2 linked regions of the Rhinolophus ferrumequinum genome follow. The protein of the gene in region 1 interacts with the protein of each later gene in a pairwise test. Links are inferred from orthologs where the notes say so. Each region holds a gene or a part of one and is shown on either strand. Other genes may lie near its edges.

Region 1 (8,067 bases):
TAATCCCACGGGCCGCCAGCTCAGGGACTGTTGGGGGACAAGAATGGGTAACCCCCTCCCCTCTGCCTGTGCCTGGCCTGGCCAGACCGCCTTGGCTGAAACCCAAGTCACAACTTTTTGTCTGCTCTTAAACCTGCAAAAGATCTTCCCAGGGAACGAGTTCTGGGTGGATGGAATATCTGGTTCTCCTTCAGAATTTAAGAGGTGTAGGCACAGGTACAGGCAGGGAAGGGTGCAAGAAACCTAGCAGGGTGGGGTCCCAGTAGGGAACCATGTTTTTAAGTAAAGCCATTGGCCTCAGTTCATTGCTCTGAATGTCTGAGGAATGGTACAAATTTGCTGTCAGAAGATGAACTTGCAGACGCTGGTTTCCTGGAGGGGAAACTGAGGCTTAGGGCCGCCAAGCACAATATACATGGAGTGCTGTCCATGGTCCTGCCCCTTCCTTATCCCAGACCCAGAAAAGGTTCTCTTGGATCTGGCTCCTGGGGAATAAGCCCTACCCTTTGCTAAGGCCACGCCCATTCGTTCATTGCTCTGGGTCCAGGCCCCGCCCAACTCTTCACTAGCCCCTGATTGGTTGGATCTAGGCCCAACTCCCAACATGTGATTGGAGAATTAGTCCACCTCACTCACTAATTGGCTGGTCCTCCAGAAAGCGCACGTTGTGCAGCGCCTCACCCTGCTTGGCACGCAGATTCTGAAGCCAGAAGCGGATGATGCTCTGGCGCTCCTGCAGGGGACAGGGCGTGAGTATAGCAAGTAGCCGCCTGGGTGTTAGGAGTATGTACTGGGGCTGAGCTGGCGCACCTGGGAGGTGAAGAAGCGCAGCTCACTCTCCACATTTTCATAGATGAAGTCCTCCTCGCAGGAGAAGCCGCGGGTACCCCCGCCAAACTCAGCCTTCACTGCTTTGCGCAGACCCAGCTCGTCGGCCCCTCGGAGTAGGCTGCGGGAGGGCAGGGGAGGTGGGATCACGGGGAGACCCTGGCTCTCCATCCTGGAGCTAGGGATAGTGCAACTGGCGGCCGCCTGGGAGAAACACAGAGCGGCTGGACCTCGTAGCTGGCGCTTGGAAGGGTGGGGAGCTGGGCGGCAGGCTCAGAGAGAGGCCAGGGACAGGAACTTACCTCTCATACGTGGCGGTAACGAAGAAGGCATAGGCACGCGTGTGGCGGTGGTGGCGGACTTGCACAATGAGCTCGGGGATGCCCACGCGGATGTGGTTCAGCAGCCATAGCAGCGTGTGGTCATCCGTTGTGTCTGCCAAGGGGCACAGGGACTGATGGCTCTTGTCACGGAGGGTCCGAGGCCTCCTACAGACAGACTCCCACTCAGGGGAGCCCAGCTCAGGGGAGCCCTGTCTGGGCACTGGGCGGGTGGGCACAGGTACCTGGGAAGGTCATCAGCACGTCGCAGTTCTCCGTGGGCACAGTCTTCATCCACGCTTTGTGGGACACCAGGTATCGACCAGCTTGCAGGAGCCGCTTTCCAAAAAGCTTATCTGGGGGGCAGGCGGGACACCTGGGGTCAGGCCACTCCCAGAGGGAACGGAGAGAGCCTGGCCTCCAGCCCTTGCCCCTGCTCACAAACTCACCAGGGCTCCTGAGCACTCAGCCTGGCATTCAAGGCCCTGTGAGCTCTAGCCTTGGCTTGTTTCCTTCCCTTCACGTCCTTGCACCAGAGGGCCCTCCTTCTGAAATGCCCTTCCCCCAGGCCCTCACTTACAAATCTTACTCATTCTTGAGGCCCAGCTCCGCCTCCAAAACCACAATGGATGGGGCGCTCACTCGCAACCCTGAGCACTTCACCACAGTATGTCAGCGCATCCTCACAGCTGGGTGCGGTTTTTACCCCCATTTCACAGATGGGGAAACAGAAGCCCAAAGCATTTAAGTAATGCGCCCAAGGTCACACAGCCAAGCTGGGATTCGAACCCAGGACTGTATGATTCTGTACCCTCTGCGGAGAGGAACTCTCAAGCGCACCCCTGCCCGGACGCGATCCGGTAGCCTAAGGGGTGACGCGGCTCATCTAAGAGCCTGGGTTCTCGGAGGGGCGTGTCCGTGTCTCTGCTCTGGGACCCCCAACCCCCGCTGCACCCTCCCGCCCGCGCTCGCACGGTCGCAGCCGCAGTGTCGGGAGGAGCCTGCCCCTCCACTGGACTCCAGGACGGGGACAGCTGACCCCAATATCCCTTCTCGTTTAGCCGCCGCGAGCACCCCAGGCACCTGCAACCCTGACAGATCCAGCCGCCGCACACCTACCCAGAACTCCGGACGCCGGGGCTGCCGGCTCGCCCTCTGGCGGGGGCCTCTTGCCGCGCTCGCCCTCCAGGGACGTGCCCCCGGAGCCAGAGGCGGCTTCGGCCATGGCGAGGGCAGGGCAGGTCAGGGGCAGCGGGCGGCGGGGGCGCGGAGGGACCGCGGGAGCATGGGGCGGGTGCAGCCGCGGAGCGCGCGGTAGGAGTAGACAAAGGCCGCACCCGCCCGCGCGGGCCGCCGTCCCCGCGTGCCCGAGCGCTGCTTCTCGTCCCCGCGCGCGCCGAACCTCGAGTCTCCAGCTGGGCCCTGCGCACGTCGCTCTAGGGTTCTCGACTCCGCCCGCGTTGTTTTCTGGGTTTCGTTCTCGCCCGCCCACATCGGTTTCTGGTGCTCGTTCCCGCCCGCACCGAAGGTGCACCCGGGTTGTGCCTGCCCGCGCCGAATTCTGGGTCTCGTACCCGCGCGCCCCGGATTCCCCGCCTGAGTTTCCTCTCTGAAAAGGTGCATTTGGGATTTGAGATGGGTGTGATTTGATTACAACTGGATGTGAGTGGGGAAGGCCTGGTCTGGGAAGATTCCGGGTGACGATGACTTTAACCACCACAGCTGGAATGTGAATAATTATAGCAGGTTCTGCGTCAGGGCTTTAGCATATGCTCTAGGACATTGCCAAGGACACCCTTCACCCCCTTTGTCCAGTTCAACCTGGCATTCTTCAGGATGTAACCTCAAAGAGGACCAGATAGAGTTGCCAATTTAGCAAATAAAAATACAGTCCTCCCAATTAGATATGTTAACCTAAAAATAAAAGTCCTTTCAAAGTGAGAAAAAGTGTTTATTTAAGATCAATAAAAACAGCTATTCGGGATGGACTGATTAGAGCAGAAGCCCAAATAATGTTTCAATTAGGAAATAAAGGCAATGGGTATTTATAAGAAAGGGAAGGGGCACAATTACATCGACAGAAGGAAGGCATTTCTATTGGTGCAGGTAACATACTGATGTTAATTCTAAACAATGTCTTAAATTTGCAGTCCAATGGTCATAATATCTGCTTTCTTGTTACCTGTGCAAACATTTCTTTGGGAAACAAGTTTGCTTAAGCCCAATCTAAAGGTTGTTTTACCCTGTTTTAACATCCCAAAGATTTGAGGCTTAAGACGTACAGGCAGTTCTTTGGAGATGGCAGCTCTGGCTCCATTTTAAAGTGGCTCCGTTTATATTATTTTTTACAAATATGAATTTCAGATAAACGAAGAAATTTTTAGTATGTTCCAAATATTATATGGGACCCAACGTTATTCTCTGTTTATTCGAAATTCACATTTGACTGGGCATCCCGTCTTTTGGGTGTAACTTGAAGACCTGCGCATCCTGAGACGTCTCCTCCGTTAGAGCCCAGCCAGGGCAGGGGCCCGGTCTGGTTCTCAGAATGCAAACAGTAGGCGCTTGATGTATACTTGTGACAAATGGAGCAACTCGGAGACGGCGAATGTCATTGTTCCGCCCTGTTCTACAAATGTAAAAGTTGAGCAGAGCAGCGCTGTGGGGGGAATTAGAACTCTAGCCCGTCCAACAGATTCTTCCCAAAGTGCAAGTGAGCCGCCCGCCCGCTCCGTCCAAGAACCAGAGAATTGGCCATGCGAAAGCGCCCCTGAGACCCCGCCCAGACAGTGCCAGGAATTCCACCCTCAACGCTTTATTACGCCTAGATCCAGCGCTCTCCTGGGTTACCCTGAAAGTAATGTCCTAGACTCCCCTTTTTTTTGGGGGGGGGGCAGAGACAGACGACATTCAGCTTTGCAGGTGCAGACCTAGGCCAGGGAGGCACAGAGGGAAGAGAGGGCTGTGCTGAGGGTTCCAGGAAGGGTTTCTGGCGGAGGGGACCTTGAGCTGGCCCTGAGGACGAGTTTGTGAAGTGAGGAAGGGTATTCGAGGCCGAGGAAACGGCGGAAGGGAAAGCTGGTGAGGGGCGGAAACCTGGACTGTTCCGGGAAAACAAGAAGGCGTCTTCCCAGAAGTTTGGACAAGATTTTCCCAGCGCCACTGTGTGGGTTCTCCGGAACTCATCCCTCTGAGCCACTGAGATGCTTTTGCTTCGCGTAAGGCTACGGATGACTAGCTCAGAGAACTCTCGCCTCACTGTAATTCCCACCGCCCAGTGCCTGTATTCCTTCTGCTCTTCGTTTCCGGTATCTCGGATCCCGACAGCTCTAGGATCCTAAAAATTCGGCCTCATGTTGCCAGGGGGAACGCTATTTCGGGGCTTCCCCGAGCGCAGCCCGACCCCCGCCTCTGTCCCTGGACACAGCCAATAGAAACGAAGATCTTCAGTGGGTGGGCGGTACGTCTTTTGGGGGCCCAATGGTAGTCGAGAATCGTTGAGCACCTTGCCAGTCACGCTGCGGAGTAGGCGGGGCCTCCTGCCTGGACTGAAGCCTCCCAGGAAGAGTGCGCGGGCGAGCGGCTGGCGGGGAACCCATGTGGCGGGGGCTCTTGACCCTGGTAGCCCGGGCGGCTCGTGGGCCTCTCAGGTGGGGTGACCCGGGAAAGGGCTGTGACAGCGTGGGGCGCTTCTTGGGCCCCAAATCCTCTCTCTGGGACCTGGGGGCCTAGTTCCCTGCGGCAAGGCCACCTTTCTAGTTCTTGCAAGCCCCAATCTCTTCATTCCCCCCGCCTCAGAACCCACATATAGGTTATCTGGCCTCAGTCCTCAATCCAGTCACCCTCTGGCCTCAGGGCCTCCAGTTGGGGTCATTTCTCGACCATCGAACCCTCTATCCACCTGCCACTCTGCAGCAGAGCCAGACGCACTGACTCTCCTCTCCTGTCTCAGACCGTGCACGCGCCAGGGCAGCCGCACTCCGGTCCCCGGATCCGGGGCCACCATTTTCGCGCTGAGTTCCGGCCAAGGCCGCTGCGGCATCGCTGTGATTCGGACCAGCGGCCCCGCCAGCGGCCACGCCCTCCGAAGCCTCACGGCGCCCCGGGACTTGCCCCAGGCTCGCAGGGCCTGCCTGCGCCTACTCAGCGACCCCCGCTCCGGGGAGCCGTTGGACCGCGCGCTAGTGCTGTGGTTCCCAGGTGAGGGGCTCCAGGTCCTGAACCTCCTGTAGCTCCCATGACTCAGTTGACCCTCCCAAGCGTTTGCTCAGACTATGCCCTCTTGACTCCTCGCCACATCAGGTCCCCAGAGTTTCACGGGTGAGGACTGCGCGGAGTTCCACGTGCATGGAGGCCCGGCGGTGGTGAGTGGCGTCCTGCAGGCCCTGGGTGAGTCTGCAGCCTTGAGTTAGAGTCTACCGGGGGCCTGCGTGGGGGCCAGGTGCTCAGTACTTGGGACCGTCCCCCAGGCAGGGTGCCAGGGCTGCGGCCAGCGGAGGCAGGAGAGTTCACCAGGCGGGCCTTCGCCCACGGGAAGCTGAGCCTGACTGAAGTGGAGGGGCTGGCAGATCTGATCCATGCGGAAACTGAGGCACAGCGGCGGCAGGCCCTGAGGCAGCTGGACGGGGAACTGGGTCACCTCTGCCGGGGCTGGGCGGACACCCTCACTAAGGCAAGTCTCCATTTGCACAGTCTCTGTCTCAGAGACCCCAACCTGTCCATCCCCTGTGTGAAAGCTGGTCTGTGAACCTCCAATCAGACCCTTAGGTGGGGTTGGACCTGGGCAAATTGGGGGGCTGGGTTCCTAGGTGATGACAGTCCCTACCACCCCTCCCCTAGGCTCTGGCCCATGTGGAGGCCTATATCGACTTTGGGGAGGATGACGACCTGGAGGAGGGCGTCCTGGAACGAGGTGGGTCCACCTGGGGGTGGAGGCGTGGGGACATCTGGCATCTCAGCCCCCAGGAGACCCCTCACTCGCTCCCCTCTGCTTTCCTCCATCCACAGCTGACAGCCAAGTGCGGGAGCTGGAGGTGGCACTGGGCGCACATCTTCGAGATGCCAGGCGTGGGCAGAGGCTCCGCTCAGGGGCTCACGTGGTGGTCGCGGGACCCCCCAACGCCGGCAAGAGCAGCCTAGTGAACCTGCTCAGTGCGTGGGAGGTGGGGCTGGAGCAGGGGCCGGTGGAACTGAGCTAGTCAGATGTGGGGAAGGGGTTAGGGAGTTAGAAAGCTCTGTTCAGCCAGGGGCATGAGCTTGGGGGAGGTGCTCCCTCCCCTTTACTGACCTCCTCCCCATTTTCAGGCCGGAAGCCTGTGTCCATCGTGTCCCCAGAGCCAGGGACCACCCGAGATGTGTTGGAGACCCCTGTGGACCTGGCCGGGTTCCCGGCACTCCTGAGCGACACGGCAGGGTTGCGGGAGGGCACGGGGCTAGTGGAGCAGGAGGGTGTGCGGCGTGCCCGCGAGAGGTGGGTGAAGTGGGTGGGTGGTGGGAGGAGGAAATGAGTGGGGCCTTCCTCTCCCTTTCTCCCTGTTGCATTTGTTTTTCTTTCTTTCTGAATCAGAAGATTGAGTGGGGACTCCATGATTTGGGTAGGCCAGCCCTTAGATTTTGGCCTCTGCCCACATTTTCTGCCCCACCTCTCACGCTCTGCCCCGCCCCTCACGCAGTGCTCTGCCCCCAGCGCTCTGCTTGCCTGGCTCTCCATTCTGCCCAGTGCCCTTAATTGCTGTACTCTGGGGTCACTGCTCAGTTGGTTCTCCCTGCTCCCCCAGGCTGGAGCAGGCTGACGTCATCCTTGCAGTGCTGGACGCCTCTGACCTAGCCTCTCCGTCCAGCTGCAACTTCCTGGACGTGGTTGTCAACCCCGCGGCAGGCCGGAGCCCCGATGGAAACAGCCAACGTCTCGTGTTGGTGCTAAACAAGTCAGACCTGCTGCCCCCTGGGGGCCCATACCCAAGTCCTGACCTGCCCCCTCACCTGCTGCTGTCCTGCCTGACGGGGGAAGGGCTGGACGACCTCCTGGAGGCGCTGCGGAAGGAGCTGGCTGCAGTGTGAGCCACCCCACAACCTCCCTCTACCCAGGTTCAAGTGAGGGCTGAGTCCCTGGCTCTGGGCACATACTTGCCCACAGGCTCAGTTTCGATATCTGCAGAATGGGTATGATCATCCTCTGAGTGGTGGTGCAAAGGTTAAGAGAGACCATGTTCTTTGTCATTTCCAGTTGTGGAGATCCGTCCACAGGCCCACCACTTCTGACGCGGGCAAGGCACCAGCATCACCTCCAGGGCTGCCTGGATGCTCTCGGCCATTACAAGCAAGCTAAAGATGTATCCCTGGCGGCCGAGGCACTGCGGGTCGCCCGGGGGCACCTGGCCCACCTCACCAGTGGAGGGGGCACCGAGGAGATCCTGGACATTATCTTCCGGGACTTCTGTGTGGGCAAGTGAGGGGACTGCTGAAGCTCAGACCAGGCTGGGTGGGTGCCCAGAAGCCTGGAGGCATCCAGGAGCAGCTTAGGCCAAGTGAGATTCTTATCCCCTGGGAAGAACTTGACCCCAAAGTGAGTGAACTCCCTGCTGCTGGTGGTGACCAAGCTCTAGCTGGACAGATTGCCTTGCAGGGACTTGCTGGAAGTTCAGGCCCTCGAGGGGGGCTGAACAGAGATCCCTTTGGGCGCCTTATGCTGGGGGAGTAGCAATTGGGAGGGAGGTAGGAGGGTCTCAGGGGTCTTTGTTTAATAGTTTTTCATTTATTTTGCAAATTCCAAAGGAATATAAAAAACTCAGGTGATCCTGAAATGTTTAAATGTAGAAATCTCCCTCACCCCACCACTAGGGTCATGGTTTAACTTGTGTCCTTCTAGAACTTTCTCAGAGTGTTTGCATACTTGTGGATGCACCTGTAAAATAATATG
Region 2 (8,286 bases), on another chromosome or scaffold:
AAAAAGACTTTATTGCAAAAAATGGAAATATATTGTCTTCGAAGTCTTGCGCTCATACATTTTTTGTTTGTGTGCTGATTTGTCTCCTCGTTCAGCACTGCACTTTTCTTTTTCACTAACTTCATTAAGAGAGGTATGAGTTTCTAACAAAAGAACAGATAATGCTAAGACTGCTGTGAATTAGTCATTACTTCTTTTATGTTTAATAGCTTGGTAAACTTGATTTTGATGGGTGGGAGGGATGACTGCTCACTGAAGGATTTGCAAAAACTGGCATGTGACCATTTTCTAGTATAGTATGCAATCTGGCCAAGATTTATGTAATATAAAAATGGGAGTACTGTGAGGACATTGTCAATGGAGAAACGAAACCAAACTGACAGCTGGCTTAAATACCTTAAGTCTGAAAGCAAGTGATTCATCAGTGGAGAAATGAAACCAAACTGTCAACCAGTTATTTAAATCTTTTATAGCGAAAATGCCTTACCGCCAATTAGTTGTGTGGTAAAAATGTTTGCTGTGAAAATGCTTGCAACAAAAACATTTCTGGCAAAGATGTTTACGGTGAAACTACCTAGAACCCAGCGTAGTATTTCCTCAAAACACTTGTGAGTGGAATACAGTATCATACAGAAGGTATATTTGCAACAGTAGGTATATTTGCAGATCTTAAGGACATGGATGCTAACAAAAAGATACAGGGAGAAACTAGGCAGAAGTCTTCAATTAAAACAGTTTACAATGACCTTCCTTCACAGAGAATTTATTCTCTCATTCAATGGAAAGAAATGATAAGCAATTACTTAAATTGGTGGGGAATCCAAAAGTCATCTGCATTTATCTTTAGGATCATTGTGGGGTTTTTTACATTTCACCAATGGTGTCTGGTTTACAGAAAGATTAAAATTAATTTTCATTCTATGAGCATAGCTGGACAGACTATCCAGATGCCCCTTCTATGAAAAGAAACTAACAAATGACTTTGAGATATCCACATGCAGAATGTTGACTGTAATTTTAAAAACTAAACTGTCTTTATTGACAGCATTCATATGTTCATAGAAAGAAAAACAGTATTAGTAAGTAAATAAGGTAGCATTAAGACATTAGGGTGGTATAAGGGTTAAAAGAAATGGGATTATATGTGGAAGGTTCACCACTGTTAATAAAAGCCAGTATACTCTACTGAAATCAAGGAAAATCGTTAGATTTCAGAGAAAACAGCATTTCTTACAAAGAAATGAGGTAATGATATAATAAACCAAATATGAGAAATTCACTAATCCTTTATAATCCTCACAAACACACAAATGATCCAATAACAAATGCTGATGTGTAAGTGATGGAAGAGGGAGACTCAACAGTGGGAGCAAAGGACTCTCTCTAGTACTAATTCAATCACCTTTGTTAATGCAACAAATATTTACAGAGGGCCTACTAGCTGTGCCAGGTCCGCTCTCTAGTCTGAGGATACCATAGTAAACAAAAAGACAAAAACCCCTGCCGATTATGGAGCTTAGAATATAGTCAAGGATTTAAAACATGTAACTGAGCAAGACATGTATTTGGGTGACTAAAAGGTTTGTTATGGAGAAACTAAGACGAGAAAGACTGCCACTGCCAATACAAAGTGCGAGCGCACACACACACACACACACACACACACACACCAAAATGAAGATTGTTGATGACAAATAGTGAAAGTACATATATAAGCAGAAAGCACATTCTCATAATTCTAAATTATGTTGGCTAAAATCAAATACTAGCAACTACTTTCCTCTGATGTGGCCTGGTATTAGAGGATTATAGGTATGAACAAAAAATAAATAAATGAATAAATAAATCTTAGATGATGACCACTGTTAGGTGATGTACTGAGATGAAACCACAATGGGCAACCAACGAATGCACACCAACACACTAGTTTCTGTTGGATAAAAACTAACAGAATTAACTGACAAACTCTCTAATTTATCTGGAAATATATTCCAGACATGGAAGAAGTACTGATTACATCAAAGGAGTTTTTGCAAGTATGCAAACAGAATTATAAAATAAATTTAGGCAGATCTCTCAGCATATCGGGTAGTTCCACATATTTAGTCCAACAATTTGCTGAAATGTGGTTCTGCCACTTTTCCAGTCAACTCATAAGGCGTAAATAGTGTACAGTTACCATGTTACTAAGCGATGTCAACTCTACCAAGAGATTATTGGAATAGTCTTGGCAAACATATTCCACTCTTTGAGGGCTGCACATTAAATAAATAAATGTATAACAACAAAACAGACAAAAAATACACGTAGGCACAATGCATATACCGGAATCAAACAAGAAGGAGGGAGACAAGACTTGCAGTTGAAATGTTCCAGGTCATCAGTTCTGTCCACTGAAAAAGAAACATCTAAGAACTTCACCATCTAGAAGCTTAGAACAAACACTCGGTCCCCCAAGTTTTACATGGCTGTCCACCAAGAGGGGAAAAGGAGTACTGACGGTTCCTCCGAGGCCCATTCAAGGCACGGGGGTCCGATCCCCTAGCTTTAGATGGGTGGGACTGGCAGGTACACCTAAGGCAAAGGAGTAACAGGTCCGAAGCCCAGTAACTCCAATTAGAAAACAAAACACAAAGTTTAAAAAGGTGAAGGGAGGGAGGCGGAGAAACCAAAGCAAGCAAAATAAATAACTAATAATAGGACAACAATCCAGCGTCGGAGAACCCACCGAGCCATCTCCACCATTCAAACAGGCAGAGGCCAGGAGAAGCCGCAAGGGCCGGGGTCCTCGAGCCCGGAATTCAACATCCAGCCTGAAGCGGGTGAGGGGGGAGCAGGGCCGGGGAACCCCCTCCCGCCCCTCCCATCAACCCCGCCCATTGGGTCCGCCCCGTCCCGCCCGGCTACTCACCGGATTCGCTTCCCACATAACGGTGGCGAAATCGAGCGGAGAGAGCCTAGGGGAAGGGGCTAGCCGCGGGGCCGGGGTGTTGGGGTTTGTTCCGAGGGTGCCCGGGAGCGAAGTGATGGAGAGGAACCTTTACGCAGGCCTTCCTTCTCCCCCTCTGTCACAAGCCAGCGTCTGCGGACCACCTAACCTCCGACTTCCGCCCGAAGCCGGCCAACCAGCGCCGGCCCCGCCCCGCCCCCGGAAACTCGCCCCGCCCCCTGCCCGTTTCCGGGCTCCGCCGGCCGGACGGAAAGCCCCGGGCGTGCGAGTGTCTGGGTTGTAAAGGGGTTTAAAGGGCTTCTAGTGCAACCAGCCTTCTAGCGCTAAATCCCCACCGCAATCTCCCACCCAGGGATCCTCGAGCCACAGTTGGTTAGATTTCCTTCAATGTTGATTGATTACCGTACAATGTGTGTAAGGGGCCACGAGGCAGACAGGCCTGGGAATTGATCCCAACGCAACCAGTGGCATTTGGGATAAGCTTCACAATCTCACTCTCAGTTTCCTCATCTTCAGAATGGAGATGATAATGCTATCTACCTAGGGGTGTAATGACACCTTTTAAAGCACTTAGCACAGTATTCAGCATTTAGTAAACGCTCGGTAAGTGACAGTTATTTGCCAGACACTGCTAGGCTCTGGCTGGAGTGAACAAGACTGATCCGTATGTAGTCCGTGCCCTCATTCATGGAGCTTAGAGTCCAAAGGAAAAAACAAAAAGTAAGTAATTTAGATCAATAAAAAGGTGCAGTATGGTTTATGGGTACTATGGCAAGTACACAGGGTTCCATGAGAGCGTGCTCACCTAGGATAGGGGTCCGCGGCCCCCCCCCCCCACCTTTCTCCCTAAGAAGTTTAAGCTAAGACCTCAAGGATGTACTCCTTTCGAAGTTACCTGGGTAAAGAGAGCTAAGAGAGGGGATGAATCTTCTAGGCAAAGAAGTAGAATCTACCCATGGGAAATGAAAAACCGTTTGCTACAGATCCTTCTGGGCTTTTCTATACCTTCACACATCAAAACAAAAATTGATCAATGACTACCTACAGATTTAAAACCTGATATTTTCACTTAATATGTGTGGATTTTCTTTATTCCATACATATATGAGTAAATCTATTTCATCATTTTAAAGTCATCATTTTACAGTCTCATGGCATTCCATGGTTTGTATGTATGTTACACATTTGAAATAATCCATTGTGATAGACATTTAAGTGTTTTTCAATTTTCTACTATTCCAAAAAAAAGCAATATTCTTTTTTTTTTTTTTTAGGTTTTTAAAATAACGTTTATTTTTTAAAAGTTAACATATGCATATAATAGGAAACTAGAAAACACAAGAAGCAAAGTACAAGGTCATCCATAATCACAAGCAGGTTACAGTTTGGCATGTCTTTCTAGGTCCCCTGTGTGTATTTATACAACAAAGCGTCCATTATTAAGTAATTAAGATCACACAGTTATGTATCAAGCCTTTTTACACATCATGAATATTTACCATTTCAAAGTCCCAAAGCTATACGAGTATTCTGATAACCAAGAATATACTACACCAACTAAATCTGGAAGAGGAAAAAAAAAAATGTAATCCTGCCTTTCTTGGCAACAAAACTTTCATAAAGGACAAAAATGGCAACAGGCCTCTACTTAAAGATACTGGCAGAGTTACAATTAAAATACTGCATTCCTTTAACGTTCAATTAAAAATGAGGCATAAAGCAACAGAGTATAAAAAGTATAATGCTTCTAAGAGAATTCATTATGATCTATACTTTTAAAATAGTAGCAAGGAGGCAAGTTTCCACTGAAATACTTAACAATGTATTCCTAGAGTCCAGCTAAAAGAGATGCACACACATTAGTGGTTATCATTACAATGTAAATATGAGCACATCCACACACTTCCCTCCCTCTATCCTTCCTTCTGCCCCTCTGCCACCAACCTAATGAACAAGTCCTGACGTGCATCTCTCAGATATGGTTTAACAGTTTCACGTGCAAGATGCCTCTTTCTTATCAATTATAACAAAAAGATATTTACAAATTGGTTAATTTAGTAGCTCTACTTTGTATCTTAGTCATCTTAGGACATCTTGAAAACCTCAGATGTTGCAAAATAAGGAATGAACCTTGTCCACAGTAAACGTAGGTACTAGAATTAAATATATATACTTATAGTCACACGATGAGCACAGGATAGGGAATAGAGTCAATGGAATTGTAGCAGCTTTATACGATGTGAGAGGGTGCATAGATTGGGGGAGGAGAGTTATCACTTTGTGAGGGGTGTAAATGTCTATTACACCTGAAACTAATAAAAAATAAAAAATAAACGTAGGTACTTTCCAAAATGCACGTAGGTACTTTACCAAAATATAGACTTATGGTTATAACTTAAAACTATCTTCTAGATATGGATATACTAGCAAAGAGCCCTTCCCTTCACCTTTCCTTTTTTCTTTCCTCCACCATTTCTATGATAAACATTCTTGTACTAACATTTCTGTACATTTGTCCATTTACCTCCTTAGAATTAGTTCTAAGAAATGGAATTGTTCAATGAGAGATTATGGAAATTTCAATTTTTGATATATATTGCCAAACTACACTAAAAAATAATGTGTAAATTTGCAATCTCTATTCTTATACATGGTTGAGATAGGGATCTTCACTTTACTTTTTTTCACTTTATTTTTTGCTAAATGATTAGCCAGTTGCACCAATATCACTTAACGAATAATCTATTCTTTTCCCACTACCTTAAAGTGCCACACTAATCAAAAACTAAATTTATGTGTGTGCATCTGTTTCTGAACATTCTTGTCTATTCTATTAGCTTTCTGCTTATTCCTATGCTATGCCACACTTATAATTACTATAGCTTTGTAACACATTTGCTCTCTTGTAAAGCAAGTCCTCTCCCAATTCCCTTTCAAATTTTTCAAAATCATGAATTGTCTTATTCAGGAACGCATCTCTTCATGTCTTTTATATCCATATATATATATATATATATATATATATATATATATATATATACATATATTCACATAGATTTGCATAATTCTTGGGAAGTTTGTTCCTAGATATTTTATAGTTTTTGTTGTTATTGTGAATGAGATACTTTTCATTGCTCTAAGTTAGGAAAACTGTTGGTTTTTGTGTCTTTAACTTACATCCTACTACACTGTAAAACTATATTATTAGTTCTAATAGCTTGTTAGCTGATGATGTCTCTGAATTTTTATGTTGACAATCATATCACCTACAGAAAATGCAGTTTTTTTATCTTCCTATTGCATTCCTCAGAACATTTTTGAAGAATACAGAACAAGATAATGAGCATTCAGTCTTGACTGCAGTAAGACAAACGTTTGCCCTTAGTTGGTGCTAGATGTTCTTTAAATACACAATCGTCTTTAAAGAAATTTCCTTTCATTCCTAGTTTACTGTGAGCTTTTAGTTAGAAAAGGATGTTAAATTTTATCAACTGTCTCGTAAACTCTGTTACTATATTCAGTTTTTACTCTGACTTTTAATATAATGAAATATAGTAGTAGATTTCCTAATGTTCAAGCTATGCGTACATTCTTGAAATAAACTCTGCTTCATCATGTATTCATTATTCTCTGAATACACTACTGGGTTCAATTCATTAATTTTTTTTTCAATTCATTAATTTTTTAATTACGATTAAAATTTATTTATAATTAATGAAATTGCTCCATTGTTAATGATGATTTTTTTATTATTGTCTTTAGCAAGTTTGGTTAATGAACAATAGCAATTTAAGTAATTTAGGAATTAGCTCTTCATCAAAGGTGGAGTGGACTTCTAAAAGCAAATGCAACTGAAAAGATTAGGACCAGCTCCTCAACCTTTTGTGAGGTTGGACTGTACTTCATTTCCTTGAAGCCTTGAGTTGCCTAAGCTGGAGGTCAGAGAATGGGATGGAGCGAACACAACTGCTTTAGATATACAGGGTCTGACAATTAAGTTTGAGAACTTGTTGCAACGATGTTGCTAACCTTTTTTGATATCAGAGGGATTATTCATTATAAATTTGTAACAACTGGACAAACAGTTAACCAAGTTTACTGTTTGAAAGTGCTGAAAAGCCTGCATGAAAACGTTAGACGACCTGAACTTTTCACCAACAGTTCATGGCTCTTACATCACGACAATGCACCAGCTCAAATGGCATTATCTGCAAGGGAATTTTTAGCCAGTAAACAAATAACTGTATTGGAACACCCTCCCTACTCACCTGATCTGGCCCCAATGACTTCTTTCTTTACCCGAAGATAAAGGAAATTTTGAAAGGAAGACAGCTCTGATGGCCATTCCAGAAAATGAGTTCCAAAATTGCTTTGAAGTGTGTACTAGGCACTGGCGTCGATGCTTCCCAAGGGGAGTACTTTAAAGGTGACCGTAGTGATATTTAACAATGAGGTATGGAGCACTTTTTCCAGGATGAGGTCGCAAACTTAATTGTCAGACCTCGTATATCAGATGGATAAGCTTTTGAAATATACCGCCATATCCCAAAGTAATATGGAGGAAGCATATTTCATAAACTGAAAATAGCTGTGCAAACTTTAGTAATAAGTTTTCTCTTATTACACTTAATTTATAACCACTTAGAGAGCAAGTATGGAAAACAAGCTTAATGATCATTTAGTCTTGGGGTGGCAAACTGATAGCTAGTGAGCTTTAGCATACAGAGTATTTAAAATTTTTAATAAATGAGCCACATTTTAAAACTGGGAAATTTCACATTAAATAATGTGGATTTCCAGCTTCCCTTCAACACTGTATTCGTATATGCCGACAAGTGGCCTAATCCTGCTGTCCCATTTAGGCTGGGAATGGGCTGTCAGATTTACCTGAGCTACCAGGTCACTATCTCCGCCTCATGTAAATAAACTACCTGGGTTCTGGTGGTATGTGTGTTCGTACAAAATATAATCCACCTTTTATTTTGCTGAGGAAATGTAATGGATCTAGGGCTTCTAAAATATCCTTATAGAACACGCCTTCACTCTCCCATACCTTTTTCAAGGGTGGGCTCAACCACTGGGGCTCAACATCTCACAGTCTTTCAATAGGTTACTCTCTGCATGCAATGCTTGAAACTTTGTTACACAGCCTGGCACTGGAATGCTTCCCCCTCCATCATAATTCCCGGCAAAGTGCCACAGAGTAGAAATGATGCATATTGACCGTGGTCGCTAGTTTTCTCAGGAAGACCAAACAAATGGAAGACATTTTACTTTATCTTTCATGTTTTCTGTGTGTATTCGAATGGAGAGGTCTTCAACAGTGCTAAACCCAG

What was found.
Region 2: the proteins of GTPBP3 (region 1) and PARP11 interact in binary tests that used the Homo sapiens proteins (3 or more experiments, as listed by UniProt). The two-hybrid records come from large-scale screens. The link is inferred for Rhinolophus ferrumequinum from reciprocal best matches to the Homo sapiens genes GTPBP3 and PARP11.

The regions. Positions count from the first base shown.
Region 1 is NC_046301.1:50,528,251-50,536,317, forward strand, and holds the start of GTPBP3 (tRNA modification GTPase GTPBP3, mitochondrial), read left to right. Parts: upstream 1-4,635; 5' UTR 4,636-4,745; coding exon 4,746-4,798; intron 4,799-5,100; coding exon 5,101-5,348; intron 5,349-5,450; coding exon 5,451-5,537; intron 5,538-5,617; coding exon 5,618-5,820; intron 5,821-5,987; coding exon 5,988-6,060; intron 6,061-6,155; coding exon 6,156-6,299; intron 6,300-6,452; coding exon 6,453-6,618; intron 6,619-6,925; coding exon 6,926-7,204; intron 7,205-7,374; coding exon 7,375-7,600; 3' UTR 7,601-8,067. Other genes in the region: ANO8 (anoctamin-8), read right to left, coding at 1-27, 637-733, 811-949, 1,131-1,263, 1,394-1,504, 2,268-2,373. UniProt on the Homo sapiens protein: GTPase component of the GTPBP3-MTO1 complex that catalyzes the 5-taurinomethyluridine (taum(5)U) modification at the 34th wobble position (U34) of mitochondrial tRNAs (mt-tRNAs), which plays a role in mt-tRNA decoding and mitochondrial translation.
Region 2 is NC_046293.1:86,965,317-86,973,602, reverse strand, and holds the start of PARP11 (protein mono-ADP-ribosyltransferase PARP11), read right to left. Parts: upstream 3,098-8,286; 5' UTR 2,912-3,097; intron 2,853-2,911; exon of another isoform or gene 2,729-2,852; intron 1-2,728. UniProt on the Homo sapiens protein: Mono-ADP-ribosyltransferase that mediates mono-ADP-ribosylation of target proteins. Plays a role in nuclear envelope stability and nuclear remodeling during spermiogenesis. Inhibits the type I interferon activated signaling pathway.